3 linked regions of the Alligator mississippiensis genome follow. The protein of the gene in region 3 purifies or fractionates together with the protein of the main gene of each other region. This does not show direct contact. Links are inferred from orthologs where the notes say so. Each region holds a gene or a part of one and is shown on either strand. Other genes may lie near its edges. The genes, in order: PFDN1, PDRG1 and PFDN4.

Region 1 (7,620 bases), about 32 Mb from region 3:
CTTAGTGGTTGATTCAAGATTGTTTACTTACACCGTAGATGGTCGCGGTGTAGGCTGGACAGTTTCCCAGGTAAAGCTCCGCTTAAATCCCTATGTTAAGGACTCGGACAAAACTCTGACTCACACGAAGTTGTCGAGGCTCCGTGGAACTTTTTGCACGCAGGAAAGAGGGATACGTCGAGGATTGCGCTCGGCGATGGGGAGAAGAATCGATAGGTGATCAGTCTATCAATCAGCCAGCCGCAGGTCAAATCTCCGTAGAGGCACTCTGCAGCATGCTCGAAGTTCTCCAACTAGGGCAGAAACCACCCAAGCCTCTTATACGGCCAGCAAGCCAATTGCTAGCCGCCACGTGGGAATAATTTAGAACTGACCAATAGTGGGGCACGAATTTAAATACAAATGGCAGGAACTCCTTGCAACATGCATTTCTATGCTGCAAAGAAGAAATGCACCCTGCAAAGAAAGCTTCAAACGGCGGGAAAATAATTCAGCGGTGCCAAAGCACACACAAACAAAAAATCACACCCTTGGGTTGTGACACCTTCCAGCACTAAACTTCTGTGAATGCGATACATACCCAGCAGACAAGGTTTCTTGGGTGACTCTGATATCTTTTATTAGACCAACCCAAATAGTTGGAAAATAATTATTAAGCAAGCTTTCGGGTTCAAAAACCTTTCGTCAAGCTAAGGAAGTTTCAGCAGTTGGTATGCGCTCTTCCTGGATGGAAGAGCACACACTAACTGCTGAAACTTCCTTAGCCTGACGAAGGGTTTTTGAACCCGAAAGCTTGCTTAATAATTATTTTCCAACTATTTGGGTTGGTCTAATAAAAGATAATCAGAGTCACCCAAGAAACCTTGTCTGCCTATGTCCTTAGACCAACACGGCTACAACCTACACCCCTGTATACATACCCAGCTGCATTATCAACTCAAATCAGTTGGGGAATCTTTTATGAAGGTGGTGTGATCACAACAACAGAAGTACATTGTTAGAGTTTCATCAAAACATGCATTAGCTTAAATTAAGCTTTGTTGGTTTTGAAGTCATTCCAATATATAGAGATTATACTTTCCTTCTTTCCAACCCAGCACACCTGGGCAGATCATACATTCTGGCACAAACTGCACTCCATATATTCTTTCAAAAAATTCTAGAAAAATAAATCTTTCATATATATTAATTATCATGCTAATAAGCAGGATGCAATTTTATAGCTTTTGCAAAAATATAGGCCATGAATGCAAGGATTAGATTAACAATTGTGATTCCCTCCATATAGCATCAACATAAAGAACTTCACTAGAGTTGGACAGGCTTATATAAACTTCTCACAAATTTGTATTTTGCAATTAGTGTTCATGAGGTATTTACCAACTGTGCTGGTAGAGATTATAAATTTCATGAAACCCTAAATGCAATTGTGAACTTGCATGAGTGAAGCTGGCAAACAAAACTATGCAACTGCTTATTGAAATACGCTATTATACCCTTGAGACAGGCAAGTAACAAAAAATGGTATCTATTTTTTTTTAAATATACTGACTGATCCAAGGAAATTATGGTTCAGTAAATATTAGTCCAATACCATGAAGAGCGGAGCTTTTACAACCTTTGTAGACAAGCAAAGAAAAACGGTTCCTTTGCTGGGCTCCCATAACCTTACTTGCCATCTCCACACAATCATATGTGCACACAGACTTCAGAAAGGGAAAAATTGCTTTTTTCTTGGATTTGAGTATGGGGCTGGGCCAAAGCTTGAGCTGCTACTGCCCTGCTGTCAGGCTGGGGTAGCTTGTGCAACAGTGGAGTGGGTAAATGGTAAGCCTCAAGGTGTACAACCTGGAGGAGCATACAGGGGAGAACACTCAGCACCAGGGGTGCTGGTGGCTCCAGCCCTGACTCAGGCAAGGGGCCAGAGTTGCTACTGCCACCACTGGGCCAGGCCAGGGCCAGAGCCACTGTGTGCTCCATGTCCTGGGCCAGAACTGGAGCCAGAATCACCGCATAGGGGAAGTGGCAAGGAGACAAGTGCAGGTGGGTACGAAGCCTGTTATCCCTCCCCTTCCCAATTACTTTCCCTACCACCATTTGTCTCCTGACTGCTGCTTTTCCCTGCCACAGAAATGGAGGTGTGCATGTGTGGGGGATGGGGGGGGAAGAGGATTAAGATGATCCTCCCATAAAGAGAGTCTACATGGGGGGGGCAGAACTACAACAAATTTATAATTTTCCATGTACAGAATCAAAGTACTGAGGGGAGGGGTCATCTTAAATTCAAAGTTGTCTTGGATGTGGCTAAATAAAGCAGATAAGATCTGACAGAGAGCAACTAACATATGCATATTCCTGATTGTTCACTGTCACCTATGGAAAGAAGCAAGCCTAAAAGCAATCCAAGTCAAAAAAACAATAGGTTCCAGCAGGCTTGAAGGACAAGACCCTTTAACTCATGCCTAACTTCTTCATCTGCAAAAGAAGTTACTCACATTCTTCCTACACCTTCATACATGCGTGTCTCGTCCACCAGCGTCATAATCTCAGTGTCCGTGAGGTGCGCGTGCTTTTTTGTCCTGTTCAACTGTTCTATCTGCATATCTGCCAGCTTCACCTTCTGCTGAGTGTCAATGACCTTGGCCTGCAGCTCAGTAAAAGCCTAAGGGAGAAGCGCGGGAGAAGCAGTCAGGGCCGGGGGGAACAGGGCCAGGCTCTGCGCCGCAGCGGTTTCCTTTCCCCTCAGAAATCGCAGCGGCAGCCGCGAGCCCGCAGGCCAGGACCCAGCGCTGCTCCGACACCGGCCCGCGAGCCCAGGCCGCCCCCGCCCGCCTGCAGCGCTCCGCAGCCTCGCACAGGCTGCGCCAGGGGAGGGGAGGGGACAGAAGAGGACGGACGACTCCTGCCGGGGCGAGCGCCCCCTCGCAGGCAGCCTCCCCCACCATGGGCCAACCGGGAGGAGCAGGACGGACCCTGCCGCGGCGCCGCTACCTTCTTCAGCTCCAGGTCCACAGGCGCCGCCATATTGCCTGCGCCTGCGCGGTGCAGCCGCGTGTCTGGGGTCCGCGCGCCTGCGCAGTGAGGGTCGCTGAGCCCAAGTCTACTACAGCCTGTCCCCGGCCGAGAGAGGAGCAAGGCCGAGCTCCGCCCCCGCTCGGAGCTGGGCGGGGCCGCGTATCAGGTCCAGGAGCTGCTGGCGCAGCGCGGGCGTGAGGTGGAGGTTTTCGCCCATCAGCGCGGCCCCGGCCCCGGCCCCGGCCCCGGCTCTCTACTCACTCGCCAGGTGCGGGAGCGGCTGAGCGCCCCGCCCTGCACCTGCTCCCGCTGCTTTCTGCGGTGTGACTTAGCTACAGGCGACCTAGCAGTGACCTGGGCCTGCAGCGCTCTCCGCAGCAGCAGCCGCAGGGGTTAAGGCCAGATCCTGGCCTGCTTGCAGCTCGGGTCCTGCCCTGTGCACTGAAGCAGAGTCTTTCCTGGTGGCCATCAGCGTGGAGCCCCTGAAGCCCAAGGGCAGCGCTGCGTGTCCCCAAGGAGCCGAGCCTGTGCTCGCGCCCGGACCACTGCAGGATTGTTTCTGTGGTAGACCCAACCCTGGCTCGGTGCTGCTAACAGCGGTGGGATTCCTGGCAAATGAACAAATTGTGTAGTGTAGCAAGTAAGCAGACAATAAAACAGAGGATGTTTGTGCACTCTGGACTGTGGACTTAGAAAATATGCAATTGCTTATTGAAATACGCTGCTATACCCTTGAGACAGGCAAGTAACAAAAATAGTATCTATTTTTTAAAAAGATATGGACTGATCCAAGGAAATTATGGTTCAGTAAATATTAGTCCAATACCAGGAAGAGCAGGGCTTTTAGAACCCTTGTAGATAAGCAAAGAAAAACCCTTCCTTTGCTCCCATAGCCTTACTTGCCATCTCCACACAATCATACGTGCACACAGACATCAGAAAGAGAAAAATTGCTTTTTTCTTGGATTTGAGTATGGGGCCGGGCCAAAGCTTGAGCTGCTACTGTCCATGCGCTGTGGACTTAGAAAATATGCAATTGCTTATTGAAATATGCTGTTATACCCTTGAGACAGGCGAGTAACAAAAATGGTATCTATTTCTGGGTATGTATCACGTTCATCAACCAACCAGGGCCCAGAAGTGGTATCATATGATTGTACATGTAATTATTAATGAGTGTATTATGCCATACATGTGTAGGGTTGTATCAGCCAATGTGAAGATTAGATCGCTGCCTGAGGAGCAGAAAGTCCAAGGGGTTATTATTTCTGCTCCCATTGAAGTCAGCGTGAGTTTTACGGTTGGCATCAAAGGGACCATTTTCTGCCTTAGACAAACCAGAAATGTCTTAAATGACAGAGTGGGTAAATCAAAAGGAACGAAAAAGCCTTTGCTGAGGGAAATGAATTTGATAAGAAATTCAGATCCACTCGCTAGTGACCAATATGCCGGGGTTTTGTGTTTTAATTCTCTTTGGAAGTTTGAACATGGTTCTGTGTCCCATAGAATGAGACAAAAGTGAAGGATCATGCGGTCACAGAGGACTTGTAGTCACAGAGAGCAGGTGAGATATAGGGGCCAGTTTGGTACAGTTTGTTTCACATTCGTGAGTGGGGTGGTGCAGTGCTTTGGGTATGTAGGCTAAACCAGAATGGTTCTGAGCTCTAGTGACTTTCCTTGAATTTACTGGAAGCAGTGGTTAGTACTGATCCATCCGTGTACCTAGGTTCTCATATGTCAAACAAGGGAAGGCATGAAGCCCACGTAGTGCACTTTCCATTTGTGTAGTACTACAGCACTGGGAAAAATGTAATCCTGACCAGGCAGTGATTGTCACACCCTGAAACATGAGCACTAACAGTTGTAATTTTAACATAACATAATTGCAAATATTATTTGCATACAGTATTCCTTTTTACATGGGAAATTTACTGAGCTACTTGTACCAATGAGTTCCATAGGTTAATGTGATGTTTCATTAAAGAAGTATTTGCCTTAACTTAAAATTTGTTGCTATTTGGCTTCATTGAAAAGAGCTCCAACTGATGCTGGTTGCCAGCAAATGCTTCCTATTTTTAAAAAGCAGGGCAGTCTTGGTCCAGTTCCCTGTGGACAGGTGTCCATCTCAAAGAAACTATCACTACCCCACATAAAAAACGTTAATTTTACTGGCAATCTCTGAATAGAGCCAGGAATTGAATAAATCACAGGGATTACACACTGTGCAGTCTCTCCAGCTCAGGGCTGAGATACATTGGCACCATTGAGTGGGAGAGTTTGTCCTGTGCTGCTTTACTCACCCTTTTTTGTGTGTAAGCAGCCTGCTTTGTTCATAACCTAGCACAGGGGTCCTCAACCTCCAGCCTGTGGGGCAAATCTGGCCCATGGAGCCATGACATCCAACCCATGGGGCTCTCATGGGTTGGAAAACTTGGCAGTGGGGAGCAGTGGAAGCTTCACACACCGGGTTCCAGCCTTGCTTGGCCATTGCAGCAAAGCGGGGACAGGACTGGGATGGCCCCCTGTACATCCAAATTGACCCAGGCTGCTCCCTCCCACCCACCCACCCACATGTCCAGTTTGGGACTGCTAGGCTGTGCTCCACAACATGTCCAATCAGAGCCAGGTTTCTGCCCTTCTCCCTACCCCACCAACATCTGGACTGGGACCAAGCTGCTCACCAGCCCCCACCCCAACCCCCACCCCCCTGCAAGCCCAGATTACTTCTCTACCTTCAGGGCTGCTCTGTCCCCCCCTGCATATCCAGACAGGGGCTGCTCTGCACTGCCTTTGCCCTGTGTGGATGGATCAGGGTCAGGATGCACAACCCCTACAGTCAGATCAGGCCCACCAGGCAGATCCAGCCCATGGAAGGACTTGGCACTGCCCATCTGGCCCGTGGCATGAAAAGATTGAACACCACTGGTTTAGCACTTTTCCCCTTCAGTAAAGCTGCAAAAACTAGGGATTTTAAAAACCTGCCAATGAAGAACAGCCATTTCCTTCATAGCCTTCCCTTGGCACCAGTACACTACAGAATTCTGCAGTGATGGGCCAAAATGATCTTATAAAACAGTATAATTGCAGTACGTGTGGTGCTTACTGGAGGTTACTGGGGTATGTCACCTCGAGCTCAGTGGGGAACTAAGCTAAGGAAGCAAATTTAAGGGCTCGCGTGGCAAGGTAGAGTGACAGTGTCCTGAAATCAACCCCAAGTCAGCCACTAGAAACTGACTAAAGGTGATAATGCAACACAAAGAATCCTATAAAACAGCTCCTTTGTTCTGAGGAACAGATCTGCTTTGTTTAAATGCTGTGAACTACAAAATTGCTTTTTCATGCAGGATGGTAACCAGGTAAAATACTCCCCAAAATATGCAGAGTGAGGAAGTGAGTTATAGCTGACAAATGCCAACAAGGCTGCTCCTAGCTGGAATGCTGGTACTTTATAAGCAAATCAACATTTCAAAAGACTTAATATTTGTATCTGCTGATCTGTAGCTGTGTAACAGACACAGGGCAGAATGGCATGTGAATGTGGGCTGTTTGTCTGATTACTCACCAGGAAAAGTGAGGGCAACCAGCCAGACCCACAGAAAAGATCCCTAAGACCAAAAGAATGCAGTTCAAAAAGGAACAGTTCAAAAAGTAGTAACAGGAGCTAAAAACAGAGCCAGACTGATGATTATTAATAATACTTTGCAGTTATACAAGGCCTGTCATCCAGACACAGAAGTGCTTTACAAAGGAGGACAGAGTCATTTCAGCCTTTACTGAAATGTAGCCATTTTTGCAGAGAAAAGTTGGAGCTGTTAACACTGCATAGCAGCAATTTATGGTCAGGAAGAATATGAAGTCCAATTGAAATTCCAGAAAGAATCTTAAGAGGCATTGTCAGAACTGCATATGTTGTATTTCAATGAGGAAGGTAGTGTTATTACTCCTAGAATGGTAAAAAAGGACAAAGAGATCTTTAATTACCAGTGGTTAGGGTTTCAGGTTAATGTCTTATCCAAAAGATGGTTGTTTCCAACTGCATGGTAACCCCTAGCACTATAATGGATTTAACACTGACTCAGAGGAAAGAGTGCCTGGTAATGAATCACATCATTTCCTATAGTACCAGAGTTTTCCTTGGAGCTCTCCCATCAAAGTATTAACCAAATACTTAACTTGTTAGACTTGATGTGATCATAATAAGGTTGTCACGGACTTTGAGACAAAGAAGCTAAAATTAAAATACCCCTAGTTCTGATTTGTAACTTGAACCAGTGGTGACTAGTGGTTAGCGAGAACAATTGGGACATCTCTATTTAAAAAGAGATCAAAGCAGGATCTTAGAAGTCAGACCTTCAAAACAATTCCCCAATACTGGAGTCACTGATCATGAACTGAGCATATCCTAGGTATGAATTGCTTAGAATCTGTCAGTAAGATTTACAAAAAAAGATCAGGCTTCATGCTGTGCTTGGTGTAAGAATAATTACAGTTCAGAGAAGAATTAGAGGAAAATTAAAACTGTCTGTATAAAAGGTGTAGTCCAGGCTAAACTGCCAAAGTAACCAGGTTTAAACACGGACATAATTCAGCTATGTTATAATGGGG
Region 2 (7,247 bases), about 9.3 Mb from region 3:
TCACCAGTTCTTTCCCATTTCAGCCTCCTGGCTGGTAACACCAACACACCAGAAATGCCCCCTCCCGGCCCGGTACGCTCTGCAGCCAAGGACTCCTTGGCCTATTTCGAAACCTTGACCTTCTACCTTAAAATGCCATCATCAGTCTCATCAGTCACCACCGCCGCCTCTTTTCCTGCCATGGCTTTACTCCTAACTGTACTCTGAAGACTGCCCTCTCCGCTCCTGTCTTGAGGGTTTCTACCTTGGGGCACCGCTTGTGAAGAACCTTGTCAAAAGGGTCTGAAAAATCCTGGTCGATTGTATCTGCCCTCTTCCCCTCCCGCCATTATTTTAATAGCTTGGCCAAAGCTTCCCAGTGGGTCAGAGTATCAGGGTCTACCCTTAAGCCTGCCCGAGTTTGCCGGTACAGTTAGGACGAGGCTCCCAGCTCTTCAGTTCTCAGTGGCTCCTCTTTGGTAGCCGGACCCGGGGAATGCCTGCGTTCAGGACTAGAAGGGACCTGCTAGGAAATCCCAGATGGGGCCCCTGCACATGCTGGCAGCCAGCTGTGCATCCACAACATCCACTCCAGGCCCTTTCCCACACTGTAGATCTGGGGCAGCCCCTGCCCCAAAACCCCACTGCGGGCACAGGATGGGAGCGGGACACACAACGGGAGCACCGAGACCTTTGCCATGGCAGTGGCAGGCCATTTCTTGGACAAGATATGTTCAAATAGACCTAGACAGCTGACCATGCCCCATGCTAGAGGCAGGCACAACCCCCGCGGTCCTTGCACCTGGGAGGTCTCTCAATACCTCCGGGGCCACCAGCACCCCATCTCCCACCTCTCCAATGTCCAGGGCTTAAAGCTGAGAGGGGCAAGCTCTTCCTTGCTCCTTCAGGTGACCAGCAGAAGCCCTGAAGCCTGAGGCTACGACCCACCAGTCTCCTCTCACAAAGCAGGCTCTCCATTCCTCCAGCCGCCCTGGCAGCCCTGCTCTTCACCCGACACAGTTTCAGCTCATCTCTTTTGGGCCAGTACGGCGCACGCAATGACACGGTGAGGGATCGGTCCCCGATCCTCAGCCACAGCTGAGCAATCTCACGTTACAGCTCCTTCAGTACTCTCGTGCGAACGCCATCTGGTCCTAGAGATTCGTTGCACTCAAGTTATTTGAGCTGTTCCATAATCTCTTCCTCGGAGACTTCTTGCTCTGTTAATGCCGTACCGTGATTTCCTGTAAAGAATGCTCTGGGGATAGGAATTTCCTCATCATCTGCTTTAGCAAAGACTGCTGCAAGGAATTCATTTAGCTTTCCTCCAACAGCATCATCATCCCCTTTAATTCTCCTCATCCCCCCTCGGTGGTCTAGAGGCCTTACGGACACACAAGTGCTCACCCTCTGCTTTGCGCCCGTCCAGCAGTTTGTTCTCCCGGCCCTAGGAAACCTGGCACCGCGTGAGCGGATTCTGACGCTGCCGGTCACTTCCAACAGAGCAAAAAGAGTCTCTCACAAATCAATCAGGAACATTCATTCAGAGGCATATTCTTATGCATTTCTTAGGCAAAACCTTTTTAACTTCTGCAGCCCACAACCAAGCGCCAAGCCTATGTGTAGCTGCATCATCTTGAAGACTTCAGCAGCAGCTAAAGTAGTTCCTTAATGCCAAGAAGAGCCTTCAATATCTTAATGACAACCGCTCCGAGACTTGGCACAGACGGGTCTCCGAGAAGCCCTGATCCCTCACTTTTATTGCTTCTGTGCGTTAAACAGATGCTTCTTGTGAAGCGAGGGCTCCTGTTTAATTACATTAATGTAATTTACTCCATCACACATAGCAGAATTGCTGCTTCATCAAAACAGGTGCTGACTCACTTCCACAGGAACAGCTCCGTGTCTGGAGATGCCAAACCCTCAGCTGTCATTTTTGCAGCAAATAATCCATCACCGGGGATTCTGGCAACAAAAGGGGCATGCAGGCAATGGGCAGACAGATGGAAAAAGGGAAAAGGGTGCTTAATAGGCTTTACCCCAAGCAAATACCTGAGCCAGTGCTTAGCCTCCCATGCCAAGCAATACTTCTTTATACTGCCATTACGGATTTCAGAATGAGAGGCTTCCTTCCTCAACCGTCGTCTCTTTGGCCGTGAATTCTCTAGAAGGTATTGATTTTGCTTCCAGGGATTCTTGCCGTACAAGCGCGGCTCCCTCCCCGCACACGGGAACACCCCTGGCATGTGGCCTTTGAGCGGCCCCCAACAGAGATCGAAATATTCAGGTGCGAACACCTAGGCACAGTCGTCTGGTAGGCAAACGTTTCTACCAGTGGAAAAATACCACTAGAAAAAGCACCACGTCCGCACTCGGGGCTCGTGCCAAGGCTGCTCTGTTTGGCAGGGGGCACGGGCCTTTGTGCGCCTGACCGCCAGAGCTACAGCTCAGTGTGAGTCAACCGTGCAGGACAAGAAACCCCTACAGATGGACTGTACGGGGTGGTTTAGACAGGGACCACGGATGCTTATCCCATTACCCGGATTAGGTTTTGTGACCCCTTTGCTCCTGCGGGTTTACTGCCTGTTTGCTTCCCCCACCATTGCTCCACTTTCCCCGGCTTTGTCTTTGGTATTGCAATTTCTCTCTCCTTATATGCTGCTCTGGGCACGTCCTTTCGCTGCATCGGATGAAGCGAGCTGCAGCCCACGAGAGCTTGTGCCATGGATCTTGCGTCTAGATAGAGAGATCTAGCCACAGACATTGGTGCGTCTCCATGGGGAAACCGGGGGCAAATCTACACATATCAGTTCGTCTCCATGGGGCAACCCAGGGCAAATCTACATACATTGGTTAGTCTCCATGGGGCAAATCTATGCACATCAGTTCGTTTCCATGGGGCAAACTGGGGGCAAATCTACGCGCATCAGTTCATCTTCATGGGGCAAAATGGGGGCAAATCTACACACGTTGGTTCGTCTCCATGGGGCAAACCAGGGGCAAACCTACAGGTGTCAGTTTGTTTCCATGGGGCAAATTGGGGGTAAATCTATGTGCATCGGTTCGTCTCCATTGGGAAACCGGGGGCAAATCTACACATATCGGTTCGTCTCCGTGGGGAAACTGGGGGCAAATCTACACATATCAGTTCATCTCCATGGGGCAACCCAGGGCAAATCTACACACGTCAGTTTGTTTCCATGGGGCAAACTAGGGGCAAATCTACATACATTGGTTCATCTCCATGGGGCAAACCGGGGGCAAATCTATGCACATCAGTTTGTCTCCATGGGGCAAAATGGGGGTAAATCTATGTGCATCGGTTCGTCTCCATGGGGAAACCGGGGGCAAATCTACACATATCGGTTCGTCTCCGTGGGGAAACTGGGGGCAAATCTACACATATCAGTTCGTCTCCATGGGGCAAACCAGGGGCAAATCTACATACATTGGTTCATCTCCATGGGGTAAACCGGGGGCAAATCTATGCACATCAGTTCGTCTCCATGGGGCAAAATGGGGTCAAATCTACACACGTTGGTTCGTCTCCACGGGGCAAACCGGGGGCAAACCTACAGGTGTCAGTTTGTTTCCATGGGGCAAATTGGGGGCAAATCTATGCACATCAGTTCGTTTCCCTGGGGCAAACTGGGGGCAAACCTACAGAGGTGGGTTCGTCTCCACGAGGCAAACCTCCCCGGCCCCTGCTTGAGCGGAGCCTGGCGCGGCGGACTCCGTCTCGGCGCGGACGTACCTCCGAGCAGCGCCCGGGTCTGGGAGCACGGGGAGCCGGTCCGCGATCCCGCGAGGGCCGGACGGCGGGAGGACACGGGCTGTGCCAGCGTGGCGTGTGGCGGATCCAGACCCTGCCCACGGGGGGGTCACGGGTGGCTCCATGGCCGTCCCCCGTGCACCCGGCATCCCTGGGTGGCCACGTTGCGCCCCGTCCACCGCCCACGGGTGCAGCTCGGCCACGGGGCCTCACTGCTGCGGGGGGGCCGGGGGGGGCAGAAGAGGGGATTTACAGGCCCACGCGGGAAGTGGGAGGGGGGGTCTAGCAACACCCCCACGTGGCGCCCCACGCAGGACCAGGACACAGCCCCACGTGGCACCTGGGGGGGTAAGTACGCCCCCACGTGGGACACACGGGTCAGGTGGCACCTGGTGGGGGCGGGCCTTCCCAGCGCCGGGCCTGGGGCGCGGGGCCGCGTTTCCGGGAGGACGCACTTCCGGGCGGACCGGCGGCGCGCACTTCCGGGCGGGCGCACTTCCGGCGGGCGCCATGGCGCGGGAACCGGCGGCGGTGCTGCGCTGCGTGGCCGAGGTGGAGGTGCTGGCAGAGGAGACGCTGGCGGCGCGGCAGCAGGTACCGCCCCCACCCCGGCTAGGCCACGCCCCCTGGCCCGGGCCACGCCCCGCGCCCCGGGCCTCACCCCTCCCCCGCCCTCTGCCCGCAGATCGTGGACCTGGACGTCAAGCGGAACCGGAACCGCGAGGCGCTGCGTGCGCTGCACAAGGACCCGCACCCCGACGGTGAGCGCCGAGCCGGCAGCCGTCACGTCAAACGCTCAGTTCACCGGCAGCCGTTGCGTTAAACGCGTGTCGCCTGCCGCGGCTGTGTCGGTTCTCGGCCTCGGGAGAACGGCCCCGTGTTTTCCCGAGGGCAGGAACGAAGCGCGGCGACTCGGGGGCGGTGAGGGCTCGGGCGGCGCGAGCTGTCCAGGCGACGGCCGCCCTGGCGCGGGGAACGGAAGAGCGCGACGAGGCCGGGACTGCCCCAAACCGGGCTCCGGCAACCCCCGTTCTGTGACGTGTCGGGGGTCGAGGCGCTGGCGCCGCCCGCAGCCCCGGCTGCACCGTGCCGATGCTCCCGCTGACCTGCAGGTCCCGGCTGCCGGGTCTCGCCCCTCTGCGCCAGGCCGACCGACGCCGTATTTGGGGTCAGGAAGGCGTTTTACCCCGTGGTCCGACCGTCCCTTCCAGCCCGACTTCCCTGCAGTTTTTATGCGCAGAACAATTCACCGAAGCTTCGTTTGGCGAGGCAGAAGGACGCCAACGTTGACACGAACGCCCAAGTTAGGGTTGAGCTCGCAGGAAAGCAATACGCTTTTTAAATTTACAGAGGGTAAATGTGGAAGGATATGGTTTATATGAGAGGCAAGAATTTCTTAGGGTGATCTCTTGTATTGCACCAGCTGCGTCGCTGGGATAGAGTCAGACAAGCTTTCAAACGCAAGACGTTCTTCTTTGGGGCCGTGGTCGCAGCTCGTCTGGCTCTACCCCAGCCGTGCAGTTGAGCCGATAGAAAATATCGCCCTACAAAATCCTTGCCTCTTGCATGACCCCTGGACCATCGCCGCTACAACATCACTCGTACGCTCCCGTACTCATATTTTATAGTCATCTTCCAGGCGAGAACCGCACTTCAAAGTGGCAGGCAAAGCCTCCTCTCCACAGTAAATATTGCTTCATTTCTGAGTGGTGAAACAAAATAAAGCCCGCGCGCAGTCAGCGTTCATCTGTGCATGGGTGGATTGTTTGGTGACTAACTCACCCTTGCACGGGTCTTATGAGACTGAATCACATTTAATTGCCTGTAGACGCTCTCCTAAGTGATGCTGCAGACTGATGTTGAGCATCAAGGGGCCTTCAAAAATTAGCCCGTTTGTTGAATTTTGCATTTGGTGTGCACCTGGCAGGAGTGCGGGGAGGAGCGGTTTTCATTCGGAAAATGTTTATTTACAAAAGCTGCCTCTCTCTTTGTAGGTGACGCGATGGTCTGCTTTGGAAATATGTTTATTCAGCTTCCAAAATCAACGACCAAAGAAATGATGCAGAAAGGTAAGTTCACTGCCAGACTGACAACTTGCTTGTGATTTTGCAAGCTGCGTTCCCTTTCCTGCCTCTCCTTGGATACATACGTGGGGCGTCCCGTGTCGCAGGAGTGCTTGTATTCACTGGATTGACGGCTGGGCCACTTTGTCTTTTCCTACCTTGTAGTGGGTTGTACGCTGCTGCTGCTAAGAAAGACCCAGGCCTCCTTGTGAAGTGTCTTGGAAGCCTTTGCTGTGAGAAACCCAAATGGGATGTTAGACTCCATGAAGAATGGGTTGGGAAATAACCCTGAAAATATCTGAATGCCATTCAGGAAGTTGGTGGTACACACTCACCCAACTACTTTATGCTGCATTGGTCACTTCCTCGTAGAGGGAATACAGCAGAAGTAGAGGGGCTTCAGAAATGAGTATCAAGAGGACCTTTGCTGTCCTCTTGAGGTTGAGATACTTTGCCTTGGTAGAAAAGCTGAGTGATGAAAAGATACAAAACTATGAATGAATGGCCTCGAGAAGGTAGATCAGGAACTCGTATTCACTCCCTCTCACGATAGGAGGAACTAGGGGCATTCATTGAAACTGAAGGTTGGTTGGTTTGTTTTACAACGGCACAAAGGTAACCAGATGGAATTCCTCAGCCTGTGTTTTACGGAGGCCAGAGTGGGTAATGTAAGGGCCCCTCTGGCCTTAACACCTGTGAAAACAGGTGAGTATTTTGGTGGAGCACAGAAGCTTGGACTTCTAGGAGCTGCACGCTCATATACGCCTGCACAGGCATCTGTCCTCCCTCCCCTGTCCCCAGGAAGATAGTACCTGCCCCTCCAAACGTACGTTACTCGGAAGACCCAGCTGTTTGGCTTCCAGCCTGGAGATGGCACATCGTGTTCAAAGGTCATGCTGGCATTACAAATGGACTCATACCTCTGCCATCCAGTTCATTATACTTACTTGGAAAGGGGGAATCTGGCAAGCGCATTTTCTGGGAGAACCGGAACAGGGTTATGTTTCTTATGTACCAGTATGATGCAGCCAGCCTCCTGACCCCAAGAATTCACGGAGAAGGCAAGAGAAGAGGCTTCCCACTCTGTGCTGGAGGTTCAGATTGGAATAGATTTGCCAGAAGTAGCTGTGAATTTGGGGGGTGCTGGTTGCTCTCAAACGATATTCTAGAATGTTTCATTACTCCCGTCGCTGCTTTCTCAGATCAGGAGCACTTGGATGAGGAAATAAACACCCTTCGGAAAGAGCTGAGAGTGAAGGTCAACCATCTGTTTGAAGCGCAAGGTATTGTGACAGGGTCTGAAACCACGTTCAGTGTCCCAAAACCCAGGAGCGGAGTATATTCCTGGAACAGTGACACCTCTGTTCTCTTCAATGCAAAAGTCACGTATTGTCTAGCTTTTAGAGCACGTGGCTGTGACTACTGCACAGCTG
Region 3 (7,851 bases):
GCGGCCCTTCAGACCAAATAATTGTCCGCCCCTGGCGTAGAGGAAGATTCTACTGCCGCTGCTCATGTTGCCCTTGTGCCAAATTTAACCAGTTTCAGACTAGGACAGATCCTGCACCCTGTCACAGCAAGGGTATGCAGAAAGAGAAACCTGCTCATGACACTCCATCCATTCTCCAGGAATACTGATCTCTATTTCTTACTGTAGCATCAAGACGACACAAAACTCCCTCTCCCTCACAAACCTTTGCTTCTTCCAACATCTCTTGTGTCTCCTCTTGGGAATGGCTGATGAAGACATCTCCAATCTGATACGGTATCAGGAGTGAATCATCATCATCGAGCATCATAGTGTCATCACATGCATCCTCCAAATTGTGAAGTTGTTTCTATAGTCAAGACACAGTAAGAAAGCTGTTGCTTTTTCCCCATCAGTTATTACAAAATACATAAATAAATAAATAAATAAATAAATGGATTAACAAGCTAGTTGAGCTTTGCAATACACTCTTTACAAATATGTTTAACTTTAGTATCATATTAACACTGTAACCCCATTAGTTTCAATGGAATTGCACTAGCGCAAATCTACACAAGATACTCAATATCTTTCTATGGTAATCTATTTCCTAGACATAGGAAACACTGGAATTTCAAACTCCCTGAACACAGTGTCACACAGGAAACGATGAGTTAAACTGGAGAAGTTGGGGTTTGGTGCAAGAATCATAAAGTGTGTTATGAGCTGGCTAAATGAGTGACAGTTTCATCAAAGTAAGACCTACCAGACTGGAAGAAAGCTTTTGAGTCAAGTTTTTCAACTACTGATTTTAGTATTATTGAGCTTGATTCTATGTATTCAACATGGGTTCATCAAAGGCAGGTCCTGCCAGACCAACCTGACGGCCTTTTATGACCAGGTAATTAAATCCCTGGATGATGGTGTTCCCGTGGACGTAGTCTTTCCGAATTTTAAGAAGGCCTTTGACACTGTCTCTCACCCCATTCTCATTAATAAATTGAGTGACTGTGGCATTGATGCCTACACAGCTGGATGGATCAAAAATTGGCTGATGGGGCACACCCAGAGAGTGGTAGTGGATGGGTCGTACTTGACCTGGCGAGATGTGAATAGTGGGGCCTCCCAGGGCTCGGTCCTGGGGCCCACACTGTTCAACATCTTCATCAGCGACTTGGACGAGGGGGTGGAAAACACGTTGTCCAAGTTTGCCGATGACACCAAGATGTGGAGAGAGGTAGGCACACTCAAAGGGAGAGAGGCTGCAATTAGATTTAGACAGACTACAGAAGTGGGTGGATGATAATAGGATGGAGTTCAATGAATGCAGGGTGCTGCACCTGGGGAGAAGCAATCCACAGCATACATACAAGCTGGGAAGCTCCCCCCTTGTGAGCAGAGGCAGAAAGGGATCTTGGAGTCATTATTGACTCCAAGATGAACTTGAGCCGCCAATGCCAGACCGCAGCCAGCAAAGCCAACCGCACCTTGTCGTGCATCCAAAGGTGCATCTCAAGCTGGTCCAGAGAGGTGATACTCCCCCTCTACATGACATTGGTCCGGCCTCAATTGGAGTACTGCGTCCAGTTCTGGGCACCGCACTTTAAGAAGGATGTGGCCTGCCTTGGGAGGGTTCAGAAAAGGGCCACCTGCTTGGTTGGAAGGCAACAGGGCAGGCCCTATGAGGAGAGGCTCAGGGACCTGAACCTGTTCAGCCTCAGCAAGAGGAGGCTGAGGGGGGACCTGACGGCTGCCTACAAACTCATCAGGGGAGATCAAGAGCAAATAGGAAAGGCCCTATTCCCCCCAGCACCACCTGGGATGACGAGGAACAATGGCCAGAAGCTGCTGGAGAATAGGTTCAGGTTAGAGATCAGGAGGCAATATTTCACTGTTACGGTGGCTAGGATCTGGAACCAACTTCCCAGGGAAGTGGTCCTCGCTCCTACCTTGGGCGAGTTCAAAAAGAAGTTGGACGAACACCTGCCTGGGGTCGTGTAAGCCCAGCGTGTGCTCCTGCTGGGGGGGGGGGGGTGTTAGAATAGATGATCTGTTCAGGTCCCTTCTGACCCCTAACTCCTGTGAAACTATTAATTTGTATAACAAACAAGGGTTCTGCTAGTCAAATCTACGCATAATGTAGTTGGGAGGCACTGCCAATACACTTTTTTAATTTTAAAAGAGCGTCAAGGAGGAAAATGTGTAACACTTCTGGATAGCCCAGAGACTGACTGGTGTTAGCATCCCTGAAATGAGGGGCAGCCTGTGCAATACCAACGCAGAATTAGTATTTCAAATCTGGGACGACAGCGACACCGAGAGACGTGAAACAGATACCGTCTCAGAAAACACAGGGTAGTAAGTAAACTTAAACAAGCGTATTTTCCTCTAGCATTGGAGAGGTGTCGTCGTAGCTGCGATGGTCCAGGATCTGCGTAGGCGATACTTTTATCGCAATACCCGCACAGTATTTTAAGATGGCACGAAGTCAACTTTAACGCCCAATGCAGAAGCAACGTCCTTTTGCTTTCCCGTACCCGCGACTCCAGACCCCGACCCCAACCCCAAACCTAAACGTCTCCGCCACGTGTGCTGTGGAGCCGCGTACCTTTTTCACTTCTATTTCTTCTTTCAGCTCCGTGATCCTGCTGGTATTTCGGGCAAATTTGTTAATTTTCTGTTGATCTTCGAAGGTCACGTTGACATCCTCCGCAGCCTGCTCAGGGAGAGAGGGCGAAGCTACAGCTGCGGGGCTGTACAGTGTGCGACCCCTGCCCGGGTCGCCCCGGCAGCCCCACGCGCCGCCCCGGGGCCGCTCAGCAACCCCGCCTCCCCCCGCCCGCAGCCCCGTGTCGGACCCGGGCCCCCCGGGGACAACGGCTGCGGCGGCGCTCGCACACTGCGCACCTCGCAGGAAACCGCCGCGTTCCTCCCGCCCGCCCGGACGCCCGGAGGAGGCCTCACTCACCGCCTTCTTCATGGTGGCAGCCATCTTAGGGCGGGGCCACCCGCCCGCGGGGTGGGGCACCGGCGCCTCCCGCCCCTTTAATGCACCCCCCCCACACGCACTCTTAGGGGGAATGGAAGCGGCGCGGCGGGGATGCGCTCATTGGGCCGCGCCGGTGGTACAGTCCGCTTAAAGGGGATGTCTTGAGGAGAAGGATCCGTCGGCAGAAAAGGGAGCAGCCGCTAGGGGGCGGGATGAGCCCGGGAGTGCGGGCGGCGGCGGCGGCGGCTCCTGGCGGGGCTCGCAGCGCTGCTTATGCGGTTTGCATTTCATTATGCAGTTTAAAACGTTATATATATCTATAGACCTATATCTATATAATGTTTTAAACTGTATAATGAAATGTATAATGTTTTGAATCTATATACATATATGGAGATGTGTGTGTGCATTATATATATATATATATATATATATGCACACTCACACACATTATGTCTTGGATATATATACATATGTATATGTGTGTGTGTATATATATATATGTATTAATCTTATCATTTATACTGAGCCCTATTGAATCCCACAGTGTGCCTTGGCCCCAGCAGTCAACCCTGGGAAATGGGCACAGGGGATGAAAGGATTTGGCCCCAAGCGCCCTAGGGAGTCAGTGGCAGAGGCTGGGACCAGCCCAGGATTTCTCTGCAAGACCCCCTGAAGCTTTTTGGTGAAGGAAGTTTGGGGTGGGGGAGAGTTACACTTCCCCAAATCCTTCCCCAAGAGCAACTAATACGTATTTCCTTCAAACAGAGGGATGGGCTCTTGGGGAAATCCTGGCGGCTGGCATGTCTGCGGCTGGCATTTCCCCAGCGCAGCAGCCTGCTTATTTATGTGACAGCTTGGGCAAGTCGGATGGTTTCACAACGGCGCTGCAGGAAGAGGCCTGGCCTCCCCGAGCCCTTGGCACTTGGTTTCAGTAATTCCTGGTCTCCAGATCCCCCCCGCCCCGAGGAGCAGAGCTGGTGCATGGAGCCTGCCAAGACTCGGAGACATTTGATGGAGAGATGGCAAACTGCTTGCCTACTATTCATAACAGATCCTGTGTGAATGCAGCTGTGTGGTCCGCCTTCGTCCTCAGGGAACCTCACTTGACGAAAAGGTTTTTGCAAAATTGGTTGTCAACACAGAATAGCCAGAGCAAGGCTTGCCTGAGGTCAGGATACTCCACTCCTCGCCAAGCCTTGCAAACCACCAAGCATCTCCTGGCAGTAAATCCTCAGCTCCCACTGATGTCCAAGGAATACAGTAAATACTCCAATATTAAATGGAGCCATTTCCTAGAAATGTACTGCTTGTGACAATAATGTCTCTATAGTTGGCTTTCCAGAAGCTATGCTAACAAGCCAGCAGCGTGAACCATAGCAATTATATTATACTACATGCTATGGCATTTTAACTTTCTTTCCTCTGCCAGGCACTAATGTTAATGGGCATAGAAAGTACTTAAGAGATAGATCCAAAACATTATCTAAAAGTTAGGGACTACCATGTGTCACACTTGTGGGTGCCTCGTTTGCAGAATGAGATCCAGAACTGTGTTAAACACCTTGGGTGTTTTTACGCGTGCAGCATCTCATGTACCAGCATCCCCATGCTTCAACATGGCAGGGACACTACAGCTTGTCGAGCTGTTGAAGCGAGCAAACACTGATACACAAGATATGAAGGCTGCTGGAGACACACTAATTACTGCTTTCCAGCAGACTTCAGTCTTCCTGCACTTCTACAGGCACCCGTTGGTTACAATGCACTGAGAAAGCGAGGTGTCCCAGCCTGGGATCCGAATCAAGCAACATGACGAGCAGGGAGCTACATAAAGTCAGCATGCTCTGGGTGCAGATATGCAACACAATTACTATTCATACTATACATACTTTATCCTAATAAGGAGGTATGGTAATAAGGTAAAGTAATAAGGAGTAGACATGCAACAAGCTCCCTTAAGCTAGCTGCTTACTGTTACAGCACCTGAATGCTAGGTGTGGAGAACTGCTTTGCAGCAACCAAGCAACTAATCTGGGATTACATTGAGTAAAGAAGCAGACACATGACAATATTGCTTCCTGGTAATTTACCCCAGAGTGAAGTAGCTTACACCACGGAAGGCTGCATGTCATGTCCTCTCCACTTTCATTATACCCTTCTTTGAAAAGCCAAGCAGTGGTTGCTCCTGCCTTTCCAAACCCAGGCAGAGGAGGTCCAAGAGCTGCCCACCCCCATTTTCCATATTGCTCTGGTGATTAGAACACCTGGAAACCTAAGTTTCATGGTTGTTAGGGGCTGGAAGGGACCTTACAGATCCTCGGGTCCAGCTGCCCTGCACTCAGGCAGGAAAGACGGCTGGGGGCAGATGACCCCAGCAAGATGGGGTTCAAGACGTGTTTTGAAGATCGCCAGGGTGGATCTGTACCACCTCTGGGGGAAGCCTGTTCCAAACCCTCGGTATTCGACTTGTAAAGAAGTTTTTCCTTATGTCTAGCCTGAAGCAATCTTCAATTGGTTTGTGCCCATTATTTCTCGTCCTCCCCTGGGGGGCCTTAGTGAACAGATGCTCCCCCAAGCCCTGATGAATGCCTCTGTTATACTTATAGGCTACCACCGAGTCCCCTCTGTGTCTTCTCTTCTCCAGGCTGCGCAGTCCAGGTTGTACCGATTTCTCTCCAGCTCATTTCCATCCTCTGCATGAGAGGATTCAAACCTACATCTCACCTCCCTAGAGACTGTTCAAATCATACATAACGGTATGTCTTCTACCTGATAACAGTTTAATGTAAAACACTGACAACTTCCTTGGAATGGGATCCTTTGTGCTTCTGAGTCCTACCTCCATACATCAGCCCCAAAAATCATGCTGACTTCACAAAAGGGTCATTAAAAGATGAATCCAGTTAACAGGAGATGTACACTGTGAACAACAGATAAAAGACTGAAAATGCTTTAAAGGTCAGAGAGGCGAGGGGGCAGCTCCCAGAAGTTGTTCTATTCTAATGTGCAGTTAGGATACATTAATTTTGGACGAGCTGAAAATATGAGTCTACTCAAGAGCTAGTAGATGGGTCTTGGTGACCTCAACCCTCCTCTGCAGCTTCTGACTGGTGATGGGTGGGTGGGGAGGAGAGACAATACAGCCGTCAGACCAAAGGAGTCAATGAGTTTGTCTAATTATGTGTGGGTTTGGCACTCACTCCTCACAAATCCTAAAAGTCGGAGATGTTGAAATGTTGTTTGTTCTGGAATACCATGGAAATATATCAAGCAAACGTTTTTTTCTCCAAAACCCCTGATTCATCTGAATGAAACTGTTGCCTAGAAAATGAGTGATTTCAACACATCTCTTGTCTCCAAAACAGTTTGGGAGGGGGACTGTTAAAACTATTGAAAAAAAATATTTTAATGTTCTGATAATTCTGGGGAGGCTAATTATTTGAAAATTGAAGAATATTTGTAATAATAAGGAAAGAAAAAAATAAACCAAAACATTGAAGTGACCCAAACTGAAAAAAAATGGATTATTTTTCCTTTTTTTTCAGACCAAACAATTTGTGAGATTTTTAACTTTTTGTCATAATCGGAGATAAGGAAAAGATGTCAGAATCTCAACAATTTGCAGGATGGGAAAACTGTTTCTGCCCATCTGTGGGATCTGCTCCCTCCCCTCACTGTTGCAGTAGGCAGTGACCCTCCTGGCTCTAGGTGCTCAACAAGGGGAATTTCGTGGGGGTGCCTAAATTATCTTTTCCCCTCCAAAGACTTTTAAGTGAAAGGATATGATTTGGGCCATGGTCATTTCTACAGGTGCATTAGCTTAATAATACAAGTTTTGTCTGAGCCAGTTTAACTTTCTTCAAGGGAAAAGGAGTGGATTTCGTAAGAATGAGATGGCTTTGAATAAAAGCTTCTTCTCTCACATGCTCAGGCAGGATTTGTGGTATGCTTGTGTTGCTAAGAGTAACTTTCTGTAGTTCTCACTTATGTAAATAAAAGTGAAATCTGTGTGAAAGGGTTTCCAGTGGTTGGAGAAAATAAACTCCCTGAACTCACTCACCTCATTTTTCTTCCAGTTGCATAATGGGACTTGCTCTTTCTTGTACTATTGTTTCATTGTTGTTGTAAATGTGGTTAGCTTCACCTTGTGCGTGGTGGGACCCATTCTATCAATCTGCCCTTTAGTATTTGTTACTAGACTTCCCTTTAGCTCATATTTCCTTACTACTTCTTTGGACAATTCCCTTTTCTCATTTGTTGATGTCTTTGGCAACACAACTCAATGGGAGAAGAGAATTAATTCTAAGTCTTTGCTTAAGAATAAAAGGATGGTTTTGGACTTCCAATTTTGGACTTCAGGTGTTGGGCTTCAAACTCACATAATAGCAGAGTACCTTAAAACAAGGTTTATTAAAATCAGAGAGGAAATGGCATTTAAAATACACTTTACTGTATTTTGATAGTCTTGGGGCCTTGTCAGCATTGCAGGGCAGCAGCTGGCATGAGCACGCTGACTTATCAGAGCCTTCTACTGGCAATGTGGCATGTGGTGGCAGAAGGAATTTTTCTGCCATTTTAACTAATCTACTGCCCCAAACAGTAGATGCTCTTTTCTGCACCCAGATTTTGGGATGGGAAGTGTGTGTGTGTGTGTGTGTGTGTGTGTGTGTGTGTGTGTGTGTGTGTGTGTGTGTGTGTGTGTTGGGGGGGAGGGGTTGTTCATACAGCTACATCAGCTGGAAGACATGATCATGTCACACCCTTACCCAACATGGCAAAACTGTAACATAGATAAAGCTTTACACTTCTCATAAATTAAACTAGATGAAGCATTGTTAGCA

The links.
Region 1: the proteins of PFDN4 (region 3) and PFDN1 purify together in Homo sapiens (affinity purification with mass spectrometry; 5 studies listed by BioGRID and IntAct, counting the BioPlex papers as one, with this or other methods). This does not show direct contact. The link is inferred for Alligator mississippiensis from reciprocal best matches to the Homo sapiens genes PFDN4 and PFDN1.
Region 2: the proteins of PFDN4 (region 3) and PDRG1 purify together in Homo sapiens (co-immunoprecipitation; 3 studies listed by BioGRID and IntAct, counting the BioPlex papers as one, with this or other methods). This does not show direct contact. The link is inferred for Alligator mississippiensis from reciprocal best matches to the Homo sapiens genes PFDN4 and PDRG1.

The regions. Positions count from the first base shown.
Region 1 is NC_081832.1:43,035,025-43,042,644, reverse strand, and holds the start of PFDN1 (prefoldin subunit 1), read right to left. Parts: upstream 3,098-7,620; 5' UTR 3,025-3,097; coding exon 2,992-3,024; intron 2,663-2,991; coding exon 2,496-2,662; intron 1-2,495. UniProt on the Homo sapiens protein: Binds specifically to cytosolic chaperonin (c-CPN) and transfers target proteins to it. Binds to nascent polypeptide chain and promotes folding in an environment in which there are many competing pathways for nonnative proteins.
Region 2 is NC_081832.1:1,555,276-1,562,522, forward strand, and holds the start of PDRG1 (p53 and DNA damage-regulated protein 1), read left to right. Parts: upstream 1-4,230; 5' UTR 4,231-4,261; coding exon 4,262-4,345; intron 4,346-4,436; coding exon 4,437-4,512; intron 4,513-5,745; coding exon 5,746-5,820; intron 5,821-7,016; coding exon 7,017-7,097; intron 7,098-7,247. Other genes in the region: XKR7 (XK-related protein 7), read right to left, coding at 3,734-3,900. UniProt on the Homo sapiens protein: May play a role in chaperone-mediated protein folding.
Region 3 is NC_081832.1:10,888,812-10,896,662, forward strand, and holds the start of PFDN4 (prefoldin subunit 4), read right to left. Parts: upstream 3,092-7,851; 5' UTR 3,011-3,091; coding exon 2,987-3,010; intron 2,735-2,986; coding exon 2,627-2,734; intron 389-2,626; coding exon 245-388; intron 1-244. UniProt on the Homo sapiens protein: Binds specifically to cytosolic chaperonin (c-CPN) and transfers target proteins to it. Binds to nascent polypeptide chain and promotes folding in an environment in which there are many competing pathways for nonnative proteins.